Drosophila melanogaster: one gene and its partners. The protein of the gene in region 3 interacts with the protein of the main gene of each other region in a pairwise test. Each region holds a gene or a part of one and is shown on either strand. Other genes may lie near its edges.

Region 1 (6,418 bases), on a different chromosome or scaffold from region 3:
CCGGGAAACTGGGCCCAACTGTCAAGAGACGCGCAGCCAGCCTATTACCGCATTGCATGCCCTCATATTTACGCAATGAGTTCCCAGACGGTATCGGAATGGGGATCGGGATCGGGAGAGGGAGAGGGAGAAGGGGCTGACTTATGGGCTATGCGGCTGGGACCGATGAGATGAGGCTGGGGAATGGGCCTGGCCAATTTGTCGATGAGTTGGGTAAATATTAAAGGAGAAAGTGCCGCCGTCAGTTGGACCAAAAGTTTTGTACTCTCCTTGTACATATTTCTGTTTTCGGTTTTCTGTTTTTGAAAAATATTTTTGCACAGGTTACATATTGTTGAATTATTTGCACAAAAAGAGAGTGAGGTCAGGTGCAGTCGTCCCAATTTCATCGAGTGTCGATAATTTATGCAAATATGTTCACTAATAGTTATGCAAACGGAAATCTAACCGTGTTTACCACCCATTTTGGATTTCCCTTCGAGTGGCCCCCTCAATGTCAGTTTTTGACTGACCAAAATTTATAAAATGCTAAATTATTCGGCTTAGCAACGTCAATTACTCACGTTATTTAATATTTATGTCAGCTGCATATGACAATAAAAGCATTTTATAATTAAAGTTTGCTTTATGCTCCAGCCGTGATTTGATTACAAATATTGGCAATCCACTGAATCAAAGTCAACACCATTTGATATTGGCTCCGTGTCAATTTCGCAAACACGCCCAAGATCTAAAAGTCAACCGATTGACCCAGAGACCTCGTTTTCAGGGAAGTACCCAAAAACAGGAAGCTCTTCGACCGTGAGTTTCCGGCTATCATTCTAAAACAATATTTGTAATGGAACTAAACTGTTTAGTTACGGAATTCGAGGGGTCAAGCCACATATATACATAAGATATTGACACAATATAGAGAATCTTAATATTTTATTCTTTCAAAATGTGCCATCACATTTTCCTCACATATTTCGATTTGAAGGCCAAAGCTCCATACTTCAATCGATTTTTTTGGCGGCTCAATCAACCGATCAAGCAGCAGGCGCCACATTTAAATTTGTCAGTTGTTTCTTGCATGCTAATGACCGGGTGAAATATTGTAATTAAAAACTACAATGAGTGTTTATTTTAGCAGTATGCGTAAATAGCTGCTCCTCAAACTTTGAAACCCAGTGTTGAAATACATATTTCCAGAAGCATTTGTCGAATGGATAATATCGTATTTGGTTAGCTTTTTGCAAGGTGTCTGCCTTTTGGCGAACGTGGTGACATGTAAGCCCAAAAGCGTACATTAATTGCATTTCAAATAGGCTTTCGGTGGCCTTGGGAACGGTGGCGTATCGGCACGTGATCCTTTTTCCGCCGAGCTGAGGAAATTTATGGCACCCTCACTTCGCTAAAATGCATTAACGCACCGATTAATATTAATTGTGCAGCGGGTATTTACCAACTTTAATAGTTAATTTATGGCAGGAAGATTGATGTAAAGTTTCATGAAAATTGAGATAGTCAGAAATAAAAAGTAATTAAATTCAACCTACTCAGGCTCTAAAGTAATATTTATTTATTTATCGAAAGTAGTATTTATTTATCACCACAATAAAGATCTATGCAATAAAGTCATTTAAAATTTATTTTTTATAAAATTCAAAAAATATCGTTAAATAGTTTTGAACTTTTCCAACAAGGTGGCAATATCTAACTATCGATAGTTTGCCGACGCACACGTTTTTACTGTACCCCAATTTGGTATCACTAATTTATTGCGCTGTATTTTTCTGGATAATTTTCGCGTCGTTTCCTGGATTATTTCATCACTTAGCAAAGTGTGCGTTTGCACATAGGCAAACAAAATAGAGAATTGGGTGAACTTCATCGCCATGGGCCGCCGGTGCTGCGTGGCCAACTGCCCGTCGACGTCGCGTCTGTTGGAGCACAACGGCGTGACTTACCACTCCTTCCCCCTAGATCCCATCATCCGCGCCATATGGATCAAAAACTCTCGCATCAGCCTGGAGCGCCAGATCACCAAGAGCGTGCTGGTCTGCTCACGCCACTTCCGCCGTTTGGACTTCAACACTATCCGCAATGGGAAGTATCTGCTCAAGCCGCGCGTCTTTCCCACCGTTTTTCCATGGGGCAAGATGGATACCGCGGAGATCGAAGCAGACCAACGGGCACTTCAGCACGCCAGCGTGGAGGGAACGACTGAAACCCCGGGAAATGCTCAGTCATCGACCAATGACGATGTGATCAAAGCTACGGTAGACCAAATAGTTGCGCAAATCCTGTCGGAATCTGCAGAACGCAAGGCCACGGAGGAAGGTAAAACAGGCAAGGCGGCGGATGACGTTAAAAATACTCCCGAAAGTGGAGAAGATGCAAACAAGGCAGCTGCAAAGGAACCCTCAGGGACTCCGGTAGCCGCAAGCAGCGAAGCCACAGTCCCAGCTCCTGGATCCGCTTCCAGTTCGAACTCACCTTTGCCCGGCACACCGCCCAAGTACAGCAACCCACATAACCTGACTATTGGCGCCCGTTTGGAGGCGCTCAGTGTGGAAGGCAACTGGTTGCCCGCCCGCATCGTGGAAGTTAACGAGACGGAGCAGACGCTACTCGTGCGCTTTGAGCGCAATCACAAGCTAAAGGTGTCACCTTCGACCAGCGGCAGCTTTCAGGAGTGGATGGCCATCAAGTCGGAGCGGCTGAGGCAGCGCCTCAGCAACCGTGTGCTGCCCGTCTTTGAGCTGGACGAGAAGTGCATGGCCCGCTGGTCGGGGCCGCGTAAGTTTCCAGGAACCATACGCAAGTTGCTGGGCAACGATACCTACGAGGTTCTCTTCGACGATGGTTACGTTAAGAACGTGCGCGCCGTGCACATGAACAAGATGCCCAAGCAGTTGCCCCCTGTTCAGGTAGCGGAAGAGGGTGCCTCAAAGTCACCCACTCCTGTTGGAACTCCAGTAAGCTCTGCACCTGTGGCTCCGAAGCGGGCGAGCACAGGCAGCCTTGGCGGATCCAGTGGCTCTTCGGGCAGCAAGAAGAGCAAATGTGCACCTCAGCGCAGGGATTGGCCGTTGCTGGACATGGCCAGTTTGGATATAGGTAAGAGCACCGAAAGGAGAATGTTAGTTTTGCCTTAAACTTAACTTTCATGTTTGACTTTCGTAACCAACAGCATCCCTTGGACTCCCAGAAATACCGCATGACGGCGAGTGGACTTGTCATTGGGTAAATGACCAGCCTATTGGAACCGAGGGTTTTCTGATTGTGGGCGAGCACCAGAAACCCACTGTTATCGTGCAGGATTGGCGTCTGCCTCCTGGCTGGATCAAGCACATGTACCAGCGGTCCAACGTCCTCGGCAAGTGGGATGTTATTCTGGTCTCGCCCAGCGGCAAACGTTTCCGCTCCAAGTCCGACTTGAAGTTGTTCCTTGAGTCCCAGAATCTGGTCTACAACCCGGATGTGTACGACTTTAGCATCCATCGACGTCGTGCCAAAGACATCAATGCTTACGTCTACACACACGGCTACAATCCGCAGCCACCGCCCAAGCCCAGGCCCATGGATGTGTCGATGAACTCCACGCTGGACCAGAGCATCACGTCGCAACATTCTTTACCTTCTACTCCGATGCCGGTGAAAGAAAGCCAGTACATGGAAGCACCGGTGGCCTCGCTTATGCCACCAGCTGAGTTAATGTCGCCGCAGACGCAGCCTGCCGATGAGACAAAGCCCAAGATAGAAGCAGAAATACTGGAAGCCAGTGAGGGAGGTACCTCTCAGCTTATGTTAGCAGATCCTCATGTGGTGGAAAATGGCTTTGGTAAGTATATGCAATTTGAAATAACATGTGCTATATTAAAATAAATTATAATTCCATATTTCAGCTTTCATTGGGGGCCTAAAAGTCAAAATCCAAGACAATCTTTATGTATGCCCGCGCGAAGATTGCGCCAAGACCTATCGCAAAGAAGACTTTCTGCTAATCCACATTCGCCATTATCACAAGGAGTTTGCAGAGTGAGTAATATTCATTCAAAACTCATGACACCTAACTTACTTTAAATCTACAGACACGTCAGCCACTGTCCAAAGATGCAGGAACTAGCGGTCAAACGTACGCACCCCTCATCCATCGATCAAGTTGAGGCGGTGCCAAAAAACCAAATACCCAACCAGCAATTCTTTGCCAAAATGCACCAGCAGGATTTGCAGCAGTCACGATCGTTTAAACGACAGAGTGTATCAGCTACGGCCACATCTTCAACGCCATCTGACATAACGCCTACTAAGGCCCTGTTATCTCCTAAGATGGAGCCACCAAGTGTGTCGCCAACTGTTGAAAGTGGCATTAAACAAGAAGATGTTTCTCTGGATGCTGGTCCAACTCAGTCGTTTAATCCTTCATTGAGTCGTTCCTGCAAGCGTGCACGCTTGTCGCCGTCGAAGCGGCCATCTGGCTCGCGAAAGAGTAACCGCCAGCGCTCTCAGCGTCGTCCCATTTTGTCAGATAACCCGGCTGGTCATGGCTTAACCGAACAAGATGTTGAGGAGACACGGCAATCTTTTAACACCCCCACTCCGGATACGCGCATCGACTCGAAAAAACGCCGCAGTGGTGCGGCAACAACTCCCATCAGTTCCATTGACTCACCAGCCATGGGAGATTCGGTGTCCACGCCATCATCTAATGACCAGACCGACATAAATGCAGCCCTTGCCCCACCACCAGCTGAAACGTTAAGCAAAGCACCACAGTACATCAAGGAAAATGGTGAACTAATTCGAATTGTGCGCATGCGGCAGGAGGAGATCATTAACTGCATCTGCGAGTATGGCGAAGAGGACGGCCTAATGATCCAATGTGAATTGTGCCTATGCTGGCAACACGGTGCATGCAACGGAATTGTCAAAGAGGCAGATGTACCGGACAAGTATGTGTGCTACATTTGTCGCAATCCGCAGAGGGGTCGGGATTCTATGAGATTTAAGCACGACCAGGACTGGCTATTCGAAGGCAAGTTGCCGGTGGCCGCGTATCACACTGCAAATCCACAGGCCACCAAACAATTCGAGCTCTTGAAGCGCTCGCACACGCTGACCGGCAATTTGCTAGATGCCAAGCGATCGATGCACTCGCTGCTGGTGAAGATTAACATCGCACGCAACCGCTGTCATCCGAAGCTTTATCTATGGGCCAAAAAGTGGGACGAAGACAATCTGGACTCTACTGCGTTGACACCGGTTAAGCGTGCAAAATTGGAGGCCCCCGACCTTCCGAACGTTCCGCAACCGGAAGCTGCCATCGATCCGGAGGAGTGCCAGTACCGTTTGATCGAGCATATCAAGGTGCAGCAATCCTTGGTTCTCGATCGGCTGAATGACATAGAAGCCGAAATGGACGGTTAGTATCCAAAACTAATTTTTGTCACGAGTATATATGAATCTATATATATTTTTGAATTTCTTTTAGAACTTGAAAAGGAGGACACGTTGGATGACTTAAAGGACGCTGACATCTCGACCACAAAAGAGGCGCTGGCCACGTTTATTAAGGAGCTCGAAACCATGAAGCGCCTTGCCAAGCTCAACCAGGTGGCCAATATGAAGCAGACCCTCAGAGATTCTGCCACTAGCAAGTAGCATTTCTATTGATCACGGTTATAGGGGTCTAATGAGGATTTTCTTTTAAGCTATTTTCGAACTGTTTCCATAATTTTGCAGACGTGTAGATAGTAACCGTACAAGCTTTTTCTCTTCAAAAAAAATATTGCTATACTTTATAAAGTTTGATAATATAATGGAATTTAAATGTATATTCTTTTAAAGTTAACCATGTGAGAATACAGAAAATTATAATTTCATGCCCAATTATAAAGTTAAGATGCTTGATGATAAAACCTGACTACAAGACGTCTTTGTGACGTCTTTGTATTCGTGACTTGGTCGCAGTTATGTGTTGTTGGCAATCTCTTTGCTCCATAGCTTGGTTCGCCGCGATGTCGGCAGCCCAGGAGACGCTTTCCGACACCCCGCAGAATAGCACACCTTTGTTAGCCACAACTGTGTCGACCACGAAGGTGATAAGTTTCCGCCCTCGTTATCCATACATCGTCTCCATAGGAGAGAACCTTAAAGGATACTACAAGCACCTTTGCGTGGGCGTTATACTTTCGAATGAGTTCGTGCTCAGTGCAGCCCACTGCATCCAAACGAATCCAACCAAACAACTGTACGTGGCTGGTGGCGCCGATTCGCTGAACAGCCGGAAGCAGACCCGCTTCTTCGTCGTGGAAAGAAGATGGCATCCCCAGTTTAGGGTGCTCGGCGGCAACGACATTGCCGTGTTGAGGATTTACCCCAAATTCCCGCTCGACGATGTGCGATTTCGTAGCATTAACTTTGCTGGAAAGCC
Region 2 (7,853 bases), on a different chromosome or scaffold from region 3:
GGAGTGAAGCCCTTCATTTTGGCCCTGCAAAGAAAATGCGCTATCAGAACAGGGAAAACTCATATTGGCCGCAAGGAGGAAAAGCAAGAAAAAAGGGCGCGCGCGCGAAAAAAGCGCCAACGCAGCGAAGTCGACGTCGCGCGCCCGGAATCCACGCACGTAGCTCCGGAATTATGGTCGTCATTCGGATGGAGCTACATGGATACTGCGCTGCGTGGCTGTCAAAAAGGCAGCGCTAATTGCTTTTTTATGCACACTTCACTGGCTCTTTTTTTCTTCATATTTTTTTTTCCGAGCGCCAACGGTGCGCAATTGAGGTTAGGTGTTTGCTTTGATTTTCATCTCTCGTTTTTTTTTTTTTCTTGTTTCTTCACGGCGCAGCGCAGCTGAGAATACAGCGAATATATTGATGAGTCCACGGTCCCGGCTTACCATATCAGATCCTTGGGTTTGTAAATAAATTTCTCCGTCGTATCGCCGCCCGACAGCGACAGTTTTTTATTCTTCGACATTATGTTGTCCAGGCGTATGTTGAACTTGGTTATTTTGCTGGCTTGGGCGGACGGTGCACGGAAGCTAATGGGTTTCTCGGATCGGAGCACAAATCTCGGCGTCGGGATTCAATGAATTTCGGAGATATTCGCTTGCAGGCCACCCGTATTTTTCTTTTTTTTTTCGCGTTGTGTGTGTGATGCGCTGCCGAACCGATATCTGCTCGAGCAATGCGATAGCAGGCGGGCGCCATTTTGGCTGGCAATCGGCCAGTGCTGGAAAGTGGCGGCGTTGCTACGTCATGCAATCGGACTGCCAACCCGCCTCGAACTCGGTAAATTAATATGGGTTCCGAATTAAATTATTTAATTAAGTATTACAAGTGAATATTATTATCGTGATTCAATGCAAATTCGTAAAATGCACTTGGAATCAATCCATGCTTTTTATACGCTAAATTTTTTTTTAAATACTTTATTTAATTCTAATGTTTAGATGTTAAATACAAAGGCGGGCATAAACTATTGAAATTTAATTCCATAAGAAAATAATTTCATTGATACACATTTTTAGTTGGAGATTATTAATAAATTTTGTTTTTTGGCTTATACAAATTCCGTTTAAGTAAAATAATGATAAAGATAAATTTAATTAGTATTGCACAGTAAATTCTTTATAATCTGTGCGATCTTGAGCTCGGAAAACTAACAGTTAACTACAAGTCCGTCCCCTTAGCCGAAAAATAAATTACCACACGTCCAACTCAATTTTTCTCTGATTCTCAGCACTCAGCATCAGCCATATAATCCTCATAAATATGAAACAATCATATAAAAAGAGAATAAAAAGCGATTGCTGCTGTGGTTGTGGGTTGCGGGGGGTCATGCGACAACCCTGCTCGGTAAAACTTTTCGGGTGACCTGGCAAACAAAAGGGTGAAAAAGGGAAATTGCGGCCGTTAAAGGGGTATTGTATTTGTGCTAGGAAAAGAAAGCGTGCTTTTGGGTTGAATTATTGCATTTTGTTTGGCAATTAGCAGGCGCGAAATGGGTGAGAAGGATTTATTGGGACCAGATTGCCATCAATTATAAGGGAAAAAACGTACATATGTTTCTCTAGTTTTGATCGCATACTCGCTAGCAAAAAAAAAGGGTTTAAGTACATTCATTTGTTTGTGTGTTTCAATTTGAGTTGGGGAGAAATTAAAGTTTTTTTTTTTAAATTCCGATCTGACCATTCCGATAAAAGTTGATATCGAGCTTATCTTAAAGCTTAAAACATCGATTAATTTGGAAGGCAAGAATTAGTTTCCTGCTCTTCTTCATTCTAGCTGTGCAAAAAAAGTCGGTTCCGTTGACCAATAATAGCAAATATTTATTATTCTTACTCAAGTATAATAGATTTATATGTGAACTATTGGTCGTAACTTAACTTTTTTCTGACTTCCAGACGAAAGTGTCTTGAATCTCAAGTTCCGTTCTTGTTTACGATCTTCCAATTGTGCTGACACTTTGAAAATAGCCGCTTCTCTGTTTACAAGTGGGTATGTACATGTATGCGTGTGTGAGCATGTTGTTTGGAATTGGTTGGAATATTGGAAATGATTGCCAATGGAATTCAGTCGGTTTCGCGCATATTGAAAGTTGGAACGTAGGATTTTAGTAATATGTATTTATTTCTAACTAAAATTATGTTTGCTAATTTACATTTGATTTGACTTTCAGAAAATATTGGACTGGATTGCATTTTGGATTGAAGACCCTTAACTTGGTATATTATTGTAAACATAATATAAAATTGTACGTAATACTATTAAAATATCTTTGCAGCTGTTCAACTGAGGCGATGTACAACGGCGCTACATCCAATTCCGATTCGAGTGAGTAGATTCCAAGTGATCCGATTATCATATTATTTTCCTGCATTATCCTTGATTTTTTTTTATGAAAACCACTCACTTTATCAAGGGATAATTTGGGGTGGATCGTATCGATCCAATTGCTTAGACAATTAATACCCTATTCACTTGCGCACATGTTAAAGGAACTCAAATAATGCAGAGCATTTACTTATTTAGAGGCCTTAGAGAACATCTCGGGCAATTAAAGTGTTGATAGAACAACAACTAGCAGCACGCTCCAGTGCCGTTTGTGGAGCACCACTTGCCACACCACAAGGAGGCTGTGGGGTGGAGGCACTGCAGCAGCATCTAGTGCAGCGCAAACAAACAGCAAATAGGCACAAGGACCTTCTTACTTGCGGCTTAGCCAGTTGCTTTGTTTTCCCATTTGAAAGCTGCAGATGCCGTCGCAATTGCCGCACTTGCTTTCGCTTTTGCACAACTTAAATTAGCTAATTCACTCCCTACTAAATCACAATCCCAATCCGCAAATTTAATCCTGTGGCTGGCTTCACAAATTTTTGGCTCGCTTTGGGCAAAGTTTTCTGACGCGCAGAAATTTCCACATGAGTGAACAGGGAAAAGTTAGGCGGACTTTAAACTCAACTATGTGTGTATATTTAAACAGTTAATTTTTGCTGCTCAATTTACCAAAAAAAATGTATTTGAATCAATTTTTCCAACATTTTAAAAACTTATAATTAAAACCAATTCCCATCCATTACAAACGTAGAAAATATGGAACACCAACTGGATCCTGACCAGGAAGAATCCATTCTGATAACGCATTTCGTAAATCCCCACCAATTCAGCTATGTGAGATGCATAGATGTGGAGAACTCAGCAATGTTGGTTCGCCAAATAGAGCAGGATTTGAAGGATTACTGCAGCAGTGAAAGGACAAAACAGGTTTACGTGGAGGATGAGAGAGTTATTGTGCGCTACCAGCGATGGAGTCCACCCAAGCTCGTGAGGGGTGTGGTGCGCAGGCGGCAGAACGAGGAGTACCTGGTCTGGATCCTGGATTACGGATTTAACCTCTGCTGTTCTGTGTGGGATTTGTGGCCGCTGCCTGACCATTTGAGTCGCAGTTTATGCGACTTTAAAGAGGGTGGTGTGGCCTTGATTGCTCCGCATTCTGGCAGTGTCTGGTCCCGATCCGCCATTGAGTCCTTGGACAAACAGCTAGAGGATGCCAATCAGCTCACATTTCAAGTCGTACATCGTGGCAAATCGAATCGGAATTTCGGGCTGCTTAAGTTCAGATCATCATGCCAGACTGAGGATGCTGCAAACTTTCTAATAAAGCAGGACCAAGGACGCTGCAAGGAAACCTTAACCATGGCCATCCCTTACGAGGATATAAGCTTTGAAAAGGCTGAGATCAACGACATGGCGATCGATACACGTCCGCGTCTAAGAAGAATACTTGAACTAGTAGTCTTATTGTCGGAGAATGCTAAAGAATCGACACCAACCCCTTCTGCAATTCAACAGAAAAAGCTAGATGCCCTGCTACAGAGCCACGAGACCTATCTTATACCAAACTCCGTAAAACTCCTGAGCAAGGTTCAAAGTATCAGCGAAAGTTCGATGCAAACTGCTCTGGCTAATAGATCAAAACAAATTAGCAAAGAATTACCCCATAAAGCCAATCAATCAGAAGATAATAGAAAAAAGGAGGTAAAATACCTAGAATCTGAAAATTTATCAGAATGTTTATCAAAAGTCAAGCTTTCATCATATCAGCAAAAGAATACCGATTCATCAACCTTGAGTGGACCAAGAAATCTAGCCTCTTCATCTACAAATTCAAACTCCAATGTTCGCAAATCGATGACATTATTTAAATCATCAGGAGCACACTTAACTACTTCGTTATCCGTACCTTTAACCGAAAATTGTACTAACCAGTCGAATAATCGAACAGTAGTATTTTCAATGGATAAAATGGAACAAATATTTAATGACATGCTTGGTAAAAACCCATCCGAAAGAAGTGTACAAAAAAATCGAAGCCAGATGCCAAATTCTAATGTTTCAACAACAAAAAGATGTGTAGAAAAGATGCACGTATGCCGCTCAGAAAACATGGGTGATAGGAAGCCAAGTGTTTGTTTGAAGCATCTAGTGCTGGCCCATAGTCCCGAGCCAGTGAATCCTGTCACTAGTTACAAGGAGTTACCTTTGGGCAATACTATCCTGAACGCCATGGATGACTTAAACTTCCAAACACCTTTGCCCACTCAAATTTACGCCTGGCCGCATCTCGTGAACCGCGGATCCCTGGTGCTGGTCAATCCCTCCGGAACGGGTCGCTCTTGGAGCTATCTTCCTGTGATTTGCTCTTCAGTTTTGAGCTCCTTTGAAAATGTAACTTCAAACCTCGATACTCGGATTGCACCGGGTCCACTGGCCATACTGATAGTGGATTCTGTAGAGAACGCCAAGAAGTTGGCTTCCCATTGCGAATTCCTAATGAAAGATTTTAATACCCAAAATCTTAAGGTGGTCAATACACATGCTCATTCCATGATGGATGTGTACATGATGCTACTCAATTCGTGCGGTGTTTTAGTGACAACATTGGCGCACTTAAACAATATATTGTCCAACGAATTGCCATTAGTAAATCCAACTAGATTAGAGTTCATAATCTTCGATGATTACGATCGCAAGCGACTGGATAACGCGGAACTCCTGAAGGAAGTGTTTCAGAAAGTTAATAGCATCGGTGGCCTATCAAAGCAGTTAGTTCTCGTAGCTCAACAATGGCACTCCGAGAGATTTCAGAAGCTTTTAAATCGTACAACGAAGCCATTGATACTATTTGGGGACTTCTTAGAGGCCGCCCTTTACGGAGGTCTCAAATTTAATGTAACTCTTCGCAGTTCCGCTTTGAAGGCACGGCAGCTTCTCGATATCCTGGCAGAACAGGATGGTTCGAAAAAGCGCACATTGATCTACTGCAAAAATCAGATGGAGCTGGAAGAACTAAGTGCGATCTTAATAGAAGCCGGACTTCAATGTGTGGATATTTCAAAAGCACAAAATCAGGTACAAAATCAATACAGAACATATTGGCTAAAATATTAATCCAAAAATTCGACCAAACTCTTTCAGAGCCCTAATCGGTTGATGCTTGTCGACGATAGCCAGGTCCGGAAACAGTTGCCAGTGAGAAACATTCAGCTGCTTATCCATTTTAGTCTCCCGGAATCGTGGTTAAGATTTTCGAGGCGATTCCACACAATGGCAGACAACATCCGGAATTTATTCACAAAGCCAATTGGAAGAGGGCAAGATTTAATTACTTACATATTGATGGATGAGAATAACGCCAAGGAATGGCCTCGTATCATGAAGTTCTTGCAGGATCACGGTTTGACCACCCAGTCTATGCCCGACAGTGAGCAGCAATTGGATAACACTCTTCCCTACTGCCCATACAAACTGAGTAATGGTAATTGCAATCGAAACCAGTGCAACAAGCGCCATCACTTTCTTAAGACTGATCTTCCGAAGATTGGAAATCCTCTCCTCCAACCGGGTACCCTGATTCGTTGCAAGTTCCTCAAAGCCTATGACCCCGCTCATATGGCTGTCATGCCCATGAAGTATAAGTCCAAAGACTCAACCATTTGGATCGATGTGCCTTATCCTTCATATCCATCGACATTAGTCTTCAAGATGAGCTTCGGTGTGCCACGAAAGGTACACAACCCGTGCAAAATAAACGATGTGTGCTTTGTGCAACATAAGGAACTTTTAAGCCGGGTTAGGATTGTTGACAATCCTGCCAGACCTCAAGTCACTGTTCAGTTGATGGATTATGGAACTGAGCTACTGCAGGTCAAGGCCAGTCAGCTGCTGGAGTGTCCGGAGCAGTTTAGAGACCTGCAACAACTGGCTATGGATATTCGTTTGTCGGGATTGGCTGGATCAGGACAAGGTGGGATGTGGTCAACGGATTCCATTCAATGGGTGCAGGACAGGTTTGCTGACATCAACGAAGAGATCATGCAAATAACCGTCGATTTTGGAGTTCTGGATGTGGCCTACGTCAAGGAAATAGCTTTGATAGAGGAGTGCCCAACAATGCTGACGAGTGTCTACAAAACGTTTTTGCGCAAGGAACTGCTCCGACAAGGATTCGCCAAAATTGACAGCACAAGCATCCTAGAGCTCCGAGCAATCCATGAACAATGGAAACAAGAAATGGAAGAACTAAGAGCCAACAAAGAAAACATTGTATGTAGCTCAACTGATTTGGATAATCGTGACAGCAAAATAACTTCTCTGCAAAACAAACAAGCGACGTGTTCTTCGGGAAAAGAAGAAGACCTCAATCCGGTTGAAACTCCCTTAATAATAGCATCACCCAATAGCAATGAAACTCTGGAGGAAAGAAAGCACGTGTCAGATAAAGTTCAAAATAAAATTGACGAATTAAATGATTTTAACAAATCCGTGGAGATAGAACACGTCCAAGACGCTTCACCACTAGACAGTTCCACTGCCTTAATAAACACTTTGATTCACGAGCTTAACACTAAAAGTCCGACAAAGAAAAAGAATACACAAGAATTCATAAAAAACATAGTACATGAAGATGAGACTCAGTCAATCCATCATGAAATATCCTCCTCTACCAATTCTTTAAAACAAGATAAAACGATAGTGGTTGGTCCCCAAGATCCTCCAAAGGAACTTTTTCTACAGTACCTAAACTGCGCAACAAAATCTAGGGAATCAGTATATCCTATGGTTAAATGGCACCAGACACTAACCCATATCGAACTTGTTGTTGAACAACAGATGTTGGAGTATAAGCTTGGTCTAGATGGAAATACATTAGAATACAAGGTTAATGAGACGACACCTCCACAACGATTTATCCTAAATCTGCTGGGAGAGGTGAGGATCGACTCGGTGAAGCAACACGGTTATTACCTACATATCAAATTGACCAAGGTGGGTCTACTCTTCCACTGGCCAACTCTTCTCAACTCGCTCTATGTTCAAAAACATGCTCACTGGCTGATCTACGATTCGGAGCGTTCCCATGGACCTCCACCATCATTTGGTTTGGTCCTTTGGGAAGGGTACTTGACGCACAAGAAAACAAAGAGCTACTCCGATTCTGAGAGCAGTGAGTTCAGTTCCACCCCAGAGGACTTCATCGAGCCAGGGGTGGAATACTGCGAAATGGACTCGAACCTATATGAAGATTAACAGCATTTTAGGGTTGTCAATTACTTTGCTTTCTAAGTTCACTTTAAAAACCAAACTAAATTTCTCTACGAGTTAAGTTTCAGTTACTATTTGAGTTTGTATTGTCAATTTGATCTTAGGTAAACCCAGGAATGGGTTATGTAGGTAAATTAAGGAACCCAATGTTATAAGTGATAATTTAAATTCTGTGCCGATAGGTTTTGAGATAAATTAAAATTCATACAAC
Region 3 (4,570 bases):
TTATGCGTTGCTCCTGGACAACAATGCCTATATTCAAACCTTCTCGATTAGCCAAATTGTGGTCATATTGATCACGTGCTCTGTACAGGCGAGTATAGACATGTTTTTTGCTTTTCCTAAATTAATAACCTAATATTTGCAGGTATTCTTTGTGCGCAAACTATTTGAAGTAAAATCGAGCTCCAAAAGTCGCATCTAAGGCGCAAAGATACTTTTCAAAGACTTCGCAACATGTTTCTAAAATTCCATCCGCATTTCCAAGACATTCATTCTATTCTACCTGCTGAATGAGTTTTTGTAACTTATTTTATCACTGGCTAATTGATCAAGCGCAACTGAGCAGACTTTTTTATAATTGGGACTACTTATGTCATACGAGTTATAGACAGCAAAACTTATTGTGATAAGTGTACATTTGTGTGTTTTGTTTAATTAAAAGATTGAAGATTTTTGTATTTGCTTTGTTTTATTTGGGAAAGAACCTTAAGGATTTATTCGAAGCCATTTGGGTTTGTTAATTTACTAAAAGCTCTACAAGCTTTAAAGTTAAGCTGCTTTGGTAAGCTCACTTAACCGTTAAATTTCATTATCCTGGAAAGGATTTTAAACTTAAAAATATATAATTCAGGTTGTTGTTTTAAGAAACCTGTTTTTCTTTTTATATGGGAGTAAGTTATTTTCAAATTACGACATTGTTGCAAAGACATCTTCTCGTTGCCTAAAACCAATCTTAAATATTAAATACATGCTGTACATGAGCTCATTAGTTTAAATTGAGAGCTGAAGACATTTCGAAGACATTCCACAACTTGGGCTGGCAAATTAATCACCCCGAATGCCGCTTATCGCAAATTATCCTGCCCCATCCATCGCAGGACCTTAAATCATGTCACCAGGCTCACCGCTTATCTAGACGTCATTTAGCACATGTGTGTGTGCTCTGCAGCAGCTGGCATGTTAATTATATCCTTTTTGGCAGGCAGCAGGAGCATCTGGGTATCTTGGCGGGTCTTTTGTGGCCACTGCTGCTCGAAATTAAAATGTTATTATGCGAGGCTTATCTGCGGGCCTTAAAGCCACCGCAAAACTAAGGTCCTAATGGCCTCGCACACCAGCACACGCTCTTTAACTGTTTTAAACGCCATTGTTAAAATATTGCTCATACGCACTTCCGCCCAAAATGGGGTCTTCTCTCTTCGGCAGCACTAATGATGCCCCAAGAACGCGGAGCAAAGGACCCGGCGAAAGGCAGGAGCATCCACAGCCATAGCCACATCCACATCCACATCCCCGATGGCACAGAGTTGGCTCCGCCCACCAGCAGCCGATGACAGCGGCAGATAACAGAGCAGCGGCAAAGTGGGCGGTGGATGGGGTTGTGGTGCGGAGAGCGCGCCTGCGCATTAGCCGCCGCAGAAACGCAGGACGATGGGGTGACACATCCTCGGTGATAGCGCCCAGTTCCCCTGCCACACAGAGCCACCGCTTGTGGGAGGAGTGTGTCGCCATCTTTGAGCGTGGACTGGTGACTGGACGGGATGATCTGGCCGCCACATTAACTTGGAGTGCGCGCTACCAAGTGCAACACGTCGCGGACGACATAATAGCGGTACTTTGCGGTTTAGATTCGTCGGTCACACGTCGTCAATATTCCCGGGACAAGGACCAAACTAGCGAACCTTTCTTGGTCAGCACAAGCGGCAAACGAAGGCACAAAAACCACAAAAAACACAAAGCACACACACGGCACACACTTGTACACTTACACACGGCAAGCAGTGCGGAAAACTTGGACACATACGCCCAGCTTGTTGCTGGCTGTGGGCGTGGCAGCGCACGAAAAAGAAACAGACAAGGACACACACATGTGTCCTGCCAGTGTGTCGCGGAAATTTTTGTGCGGAAATTATAGAAATTTCGCTTTTTGATTTCATTTTCGTTCCGCTTTCGTTGCGAACCTCTCACCCCTCGCCACCCACCACCACCCACCTTTTGTGCACCTGCACCTGTGCGAAAAGACATCGAGAAATGCCCAAGGAGCCCGCTGCCGTCGGTGTCCAGTTGGCTTGGTGGTCGTCGCCGTCATCGTCCTTGCAGTGACAAATTTCCTTGCATATCCGCTCCAGGACTACGAAACTTTGGCTGCAAACAAAACCGTCATTTGCGTGGCGCGTCGCTGTCGCGTTCACTTGTCGCATATCCGTCGCCATTTTGACAATAATTTCATTTCCGGTTGGCAATTTGTACGCACTTGAGTGAGTGATTAACTGCACCGATTCCCAACGATTGTGAAGTGTTTAAGATTACTAAGTTGTAACTTAAGTTGTCCCGACGGAAGTTTAAGAGACAGTCAAAGAGGAGACTTATTTTTGGATAAACTTTATTGCACATACAGGCACAATCCTGAGGTGAGTTATGTTCGAATTATAGAATGATCAACATGATTCAGAACTCCGACGGGGTCCTAAATAACTAATGTATTTTTAAGTGCTTTGTTGAACCAAAGTTGAAGTAAATTAAAGATAATATCGTAACGGTAGAATTTTATTCAAAAATTGAAAACATACTCCTAGGCTTAAATGGGGAAAATCTCCAGCATAAAATGGGGAAAATATTAAATGCATAAAAATATTTGAAATGTACGAATTCAGAATACCAGACATGTTGAAGTCTATTTTAAATCTAAAAATTTATAACCAATGTCAGTAAAGAATAATTACAATAATAAACTTTAATATTTTGATAGAATTTATTTCGAATTTCTAAGATATTTGTAAACTATGATACTTTCTATTCAAACATTCTGATCTGATAAATTAAATCCACTTACATAGAATTTTGAGCGCTTAGATACAGCACCTGTGAACTTAGATGGTTGCTTTTAATTTCTAACTAACGACAGTTATCCAACCCCTAAAAAGCTCACCCCACCATCATCAGATAATTGTGAAGCATATGTTTCTGCTAATCGAATTAGTAGACTTAAAACGGAAGTATTCATAAACCAGAAAAAAAGCACATCAGCAGCATCATTGGGTAAAAGCTTGACAATTAAACAGCAGCACAGTTTCATCAACCAGTCGGCTGTGCAAACATTCAAAAATCCTAATTTCCTAAAATCGCATAAAAATCTTACAAACCATTAAAGAGCAGCCAAACGTGTGGCCTCTTAATTAAAGGATCTCTCGTCCAACAAGGGGATTACACCATTAACAGCTGTCGAAGAGCATAAACTCGGCAATCACAGCGATACCAAGTGGTATTCAAAGGACTCAGCACGCGCTGCAGAACGGGACGAGCATTCAGCCCATCTGCAGACCGACATCCTGGCATCCCGCTCGTATTTCCGGTGTGCGCGCGTTCGCTCAGCGATTGTGATAACTTGGGGAATACAAGGATACCAGAATACAAAAAAAATAAAATGTCTGCCTGCTAATGTTCGCTGGTGAAATTTGCCTACATGCAAACGCAGCCACTCGGCCTGAGTACAAATAATAAATAATAAATGAGGCGTGTGCAGGCCGTTTATAATGTCTGACAAGGCGCAAAGTTGATGATGTTCTGTAGATGCGACCGTTTCGATAACGAAATCTATTTACTCCTCCCGGCAAACTTAAAGCTGCTGGGGTTTCAGTTACAGTTTTCATTTCGGGTATGTTTGGTGTACTTTAAGCCAGAGACAGGACAAGTCGCACTTTGTATGGCATAAATTTCGTTGGCATAAATCAAAATTCAGCAACTTCCGACGAGGGCAGAGTGCAAAAATTTGCATGCCCCCTGTGTGTGCTAACTGCAGACTGGCCGAAAAGGGCCAGTAAACAATGGTTCGCCTTCCCCAGCTTCGACCAGCTGGACATTAGAGAGCCACGCTCAAATGGCCGCCACCCACGCACAGTTCAACGCTCATACGCAACGTTGGCCCAGTGCAAAAAGCGGGACTGTACACACAATAAATAACGAGCCAGATAATTATGCACGTCGTGCTTATATCTAAGGGAACACTAGCTCCACAGCTCCAAAGTAGCCACTATTAATTATGCCAGAACATCGGGGGGGTTTTCGGGTAGCTAGCTTAACGTGTTGGGGCCATGGCAATTAGAGCGATTGTTTGGCCCGAGAGGCATTCTAAAATTGCAGTATTTAATTGTGGACCACGCGCTATGATTTATTAATATCTCGCTCTGCAATTTGCCATGAGGTGAGTGATGGAGTTTACTTGGACTTTAAAGCAATTAAATCTTCTGGTTTGACTACCAATAGAGTACAAGAGTGTATGAATAAATATCTTAAGTTTTAGTAACTTATAAGTACTAAGTATTCATTTATATTCATTTTCGTTTGTAATTTTCGCAGTTTTATAAGTACTATAAAACCAATTTGTTCTATCTATTACTTTCTCCGGCAGAGTCAAGTGGAATCCCTTGTTTAGCCAACAGCCACCCATCGAGGCTCCCCAGGCGTGCGCCATGTACGAGAACTCCTGTTCGTATCAGACGGCGCTGGACCTGAAGAGGGTATCGCCACCGACTCTCGCCCAGGTGAAAACGGAGGAGTGCCTTGCACTCGGACA
Region 4 (3,316 bases), on a different chromosome or scaffold from region 3:
GCTCGTACAATCCATAAATGTGCCTTTGTGTTGAACAAAAACCATGAAGAAATCGGTATACATAATGAAAACTCGATTGGCATAAGAGGTACAAGCTGTATGAATACAGGTTTCAACTCTTTTTTGTATCAACATCAGCCGAAACTGGTCAAACGGCTTTGGAACATGGGCCATCCGATGGCTTATGTATCGTTTTGACAGTTTATGTTTATACTAAAATTTCGCTGCAGGCGATAAATATGTATTGAGACAGCATCCGGCCCAAGAAAGTAGTGGCTAGGGGGATGAATAACAGAACATGGGATTTATGTAAAAATATCAATTACACATGTGGACAATTTGCTTGCATACATAGTTAATATACATATGAGCATATATATTCATATGAAATTCCATACAAATCCATGTTGTATGAAATTGATATTGAAACCCACGTATAAAAATATATTGCCGTCGTTAGATAATTTATGGTTTAAAACAAAATAAAATGCATATTTTTTATACATTATTTAATGTTGTTTTTAATGTTTTTTTCATTGTCTTAAATAACTCTACAACTATTGTATTATTATCAAAAATTACAAAAGTAAGCGTATAATATATACATTGCGCAAAACACAGAAGTTACTATGAGAAAACTATTTGACGCATTATTAAGAACTAAAAAAAATAATTGAATCATTGGTTGCATTAAAGTTTAACCCCTGGTTTGTGAATATTATTGTTTGTATATTAAATTACAAATTACAGTTCATTATTTAAATTTCGCGCCCTAAAGATTAGACGATTTACGATAACGATTAAATGTATTCTTATTGCTTATGTTAACTTGCTGTTAAACGAATTTTGCCCTTCTTGTAAATGCATTTGTAAATGATTTGACTTCTGTAGTGAATATTCAATTCGGCTTGAAGTTTCGTAGGATTTTCAGGACCTCGATCTGAAAGTCAAGCTTGCGATCGGCGCACATCTGCTGCATGTGAGGCTTAATGGTGTCGAAGAAGGCCTGATCAGGATCGGCGGACAAGTAGGCGGTATTTGTACTGCAGGGTGGATCTGATGGTAACTGTGGAATATATGCGATTTCCGGAGTGGCGGTGTCCTCCTTGGCGCAGCCCAGATCTCCCAGAACCGTATTTATGTTGCTTGGTATGGCTGGATTGCGGATGGCAGGCTCAATATTCGATTCTTGGTCGGAGTTTCTCTTTCGTGGAGTCTTTGCAGATCTCTGTGCGGCAGTGCTCACTCGCTTCCGTTTGGCCTGGGGCTTGGGTTGCTCCTTCAAGGATTCTACATCGTCCTCCGACTCTGCTTTCACGTTCAGCAGGAAACTCAGTTCCTTTTCGTAGATGTAGGAAGCTCTGGCCACCTCCTCGCCACTTTGACGTAGTCGGTTGACCCGTAGGTAGCTGTCCCTCGTGTTTTTCCAACGTTTGAGCAGTGTTTTAACTGGAATTGGAAGTTATGTATGATATAGACTCAAAAAGGTAGCCACCACCTACCTATTTCCTGCTTCTCCGGCTCGCTGGAGTCGTCAAAATTCGAGCAAAGCTCGTGGCCAATTTGCTGCCAGGCCTCATCTCTGAGTTCGCGGTTATGGAAGTTTGGGTGGCTTCGTTCCCATATAATAGAACGTTTGTGTACCGCGTCAATGAACTCGTACATCGAATAGCGCAAATTGCTTCCTGCCGATCGAAGAACTTTATGATTGCCCATTATTTATTGTTTATTTAAGGGTTGGATTGGATTGACAATATGTTGCTTGCGTTTAACAGCACCACGGGCAGCTGCTTAACAGCACTCCCCGCAGAGTTGCCACCTCGCCCCGCATTTAAACTAAAAACGTTCTGATGTTATGAAAATACAAATTTCAATTTTGTGTTTTATTATTAAACATATACAGATAGGTCAGTGGATTATTGTTGCTGTTGTTCTTGCTTCGAAGCGTGCGAAATGCGAAGGTATGACCGAGTAATACGTGTACGTGTTAAATTAGGAGAGAAATGCAAGTGAGTTTTGATGATTAGGGTGTAGTGTTCTCTGGATTTCTGAATGATTCTATTTACATGGGCCTGCCCATTCCGCGGCCCATTCCCATGCCACCGCCGGCCATCGGGGGTTCTCCGGCCTTGGGACTCTTTATTGTCTCATCGACGGAAAGGATCATGCAGGCTGCCTCGGCGGCCGCCGTCAGTGCATTGATCTTAATGATGGACGGCTCCCAGACGCACTGCTCATAGTTGTCCGAAATGTCTTCCTTGTTGATGTCGACGCCGTACCACTGTCCTCCTGTAAAAAGGTAAATGTATAAAATTATAATAATTATTAATTAGAGTTCAAAATTACACGACCGATTTGAATTCGCCAACGATTTTTGCAGGTAACATTTCGTTCAGGTGGCAACGCCGCTTACAGCCCGCGCAATAAACGAATTGAGAAGGTGCGAAAGAGCACAACATACAGCACATGTGACTCGAGTGAGAGAGGACGAGTGACAGTGAGGTCGAAGAAAAACACGCGTTGCTGCGGCTAAAATTTCCTCTGTATTTACATTATTTGGAAGAGAAAACGCAGCCAAACGAAATGTCCAGCTCCGGAAGAAAGCGCAAGCAGCAACTTAAGCCGCGTCAGGACGATCACCGGTCGCCGGTGAAGCGACGCAGTGTGGACATCAAGTCGGAACCCTTGGACGGCTATCCGGCGCTAGCAGACTACGATTTAAGTACGGCCGATATCAAGCCGGATCTCACTGAACTCCAATTGCAGCTGGTGGCGGAGCAGCAGGCGGCCAGCAACACCATTCGCTTGGAATTGGAACAGCAAGAGAGTGATTCCGACGAGGATGGCTACTCAGAGCTCGATTACCAAGCTGAAGATGTCTTCTGTCAGGGTAAGAAGGGTGCTCCTCCCGTCATTTCAAGACCCCACTTATAAAATTATCCTTTTTAAACCCAGACGATATGGATGACTACGATCCAGATTGGTCCAGCCAGCAGACGGGTTCCCGACTGCTCTTCAAATTTCCCATCCAGCAGAGTGGCCTGAAATTCGGACAACGCTTCCAGGGACCACAGCACTACTTCAACCAAGTGCTGGGAAATCGCTCCAAGTTCTTCAGTTCCCTGGCCCAAAGCTGCAACCTAAAGGGAGGAGAGCTCAAGTCCAATCCCACAACTGCCGAAGAAATGGAAATCTTTATGGCGCTTTCCCTGCTTATGTGTGACCTGAAGCTGGAGCACCTATCGGATTACTGGAGCACTAACATGTTTTACGGTCTCGTCGGATTCTCTGGGAAGATTCCTCTGGAACGGTATCA

The links.
Region 1: the proteins of Ets65A (region 3) and MBD-R2 interact in a two-hybrid assay, tested with the Drosophila melanogaster proteins (one large-scale study listed by BioGRID).
Region 2: the proteins of Ets65A (region 3) and CG31875 interact in a two-hybrid assay, tested with the Drosophila melanogaster proteins (one large-scale study listed by BioGRID).
Region 4: the proteins of Ets65A (region 3) and hng2 interact in a two-hybrid assay, tested with the Drosophila melanogaster proteins (one large-scale study listed by BioGRID).

What each region holds. Positions count from the first base shown.
Region 1 is NT_033777.3:12,351,603-12,358,020, reverse strand, and holds MBD-R2 (MBD-R2), read left to right. Parts: upstream 1-1,755; 5' UTR 1,756-1,877; coding exon 1,878-3,102; intron 3,103-3,175; coding exon 3,176-3,826; intron 3,827-3,890; coding exon 3,891-4,023; intron 4,024-4,076; coding exon 4,077-5,407; intron 5,408-5,476; coding exon 5,477-5,646; 3' UTR 5,647-5,878; downstream 5,879-6,418. Other genes in the region: CG10041 (uncharacterized protein), read left to right, coding at 5,958-6,418. UniProt on the Drosophila melanogaster protein: Component of the non-specific lethal (NLS) complex, a multiprotein complex that promotes expression of housekeeping genes on X chromosome and autosomes.
Region 2 is NT_033779.5:9,996,706-10,004,558, reverse strand, and holds the start of CG31875 (uncharacterized protein), read left to right. Parts: upstream 1-1,822; 5' UTR 1,823-2,031; exon of another isoform or gene 2,032-2,153; intron 2,154-2,216; 5' UTR 2,217-2,262; intron 2,263-2,321; 5' UTR 2,322-2,375; intron 2,376-3,125; exon of another isoform or gene 3,126-3,130; coding exon of another isoform or gene 3,131-5,449; intron 5,450-5,515; coding exon of another isoform or gene 5,516-7,627; exon of another isoform or gene 7,628-7,853. Other genes in the region: Ndf (Nucleosome-destabilizing factor), read right to left, coding at 1-24, 433-512; SoYb (sister of Yb), read left to right, coding at 3,131-5,449, 5,516-7,627.
Region 3 is NT_037436.4:6,096,064-6,100,633, forward strand, and holds the start of Ets65A (Ets at 65A), read left to right. Parts: upstream 1-1,553; 5' UTR 1,554-2,408; intron 2,409-4,405; 5' UTR 4,406-4,466; coding exon 4,467-4,570. Other genes in the region: loj (logjam), read left to right, coding at 1-88, 143-199.
Region 4 is NT_033777.3:8,804,766-8,808,081, reverse strand, and holds hng2 (hinge2), read right to left. Parts: upstream 1,761-3,316; 5' UTR 1,717-1,760; coding exon 1,503-1,716; intron 1,450-1,502; coding exon 899-1,449; 3' UTR 501-898; downstream 1-500. Other genes in the region: CG9839 (uncharacterized protein), read left to right, coding at 2,584-2,890, 2,956-3,316; CCT7 (chaperonin containing TCP1 subunit 7), read right to left, coding at 2,063-2,289.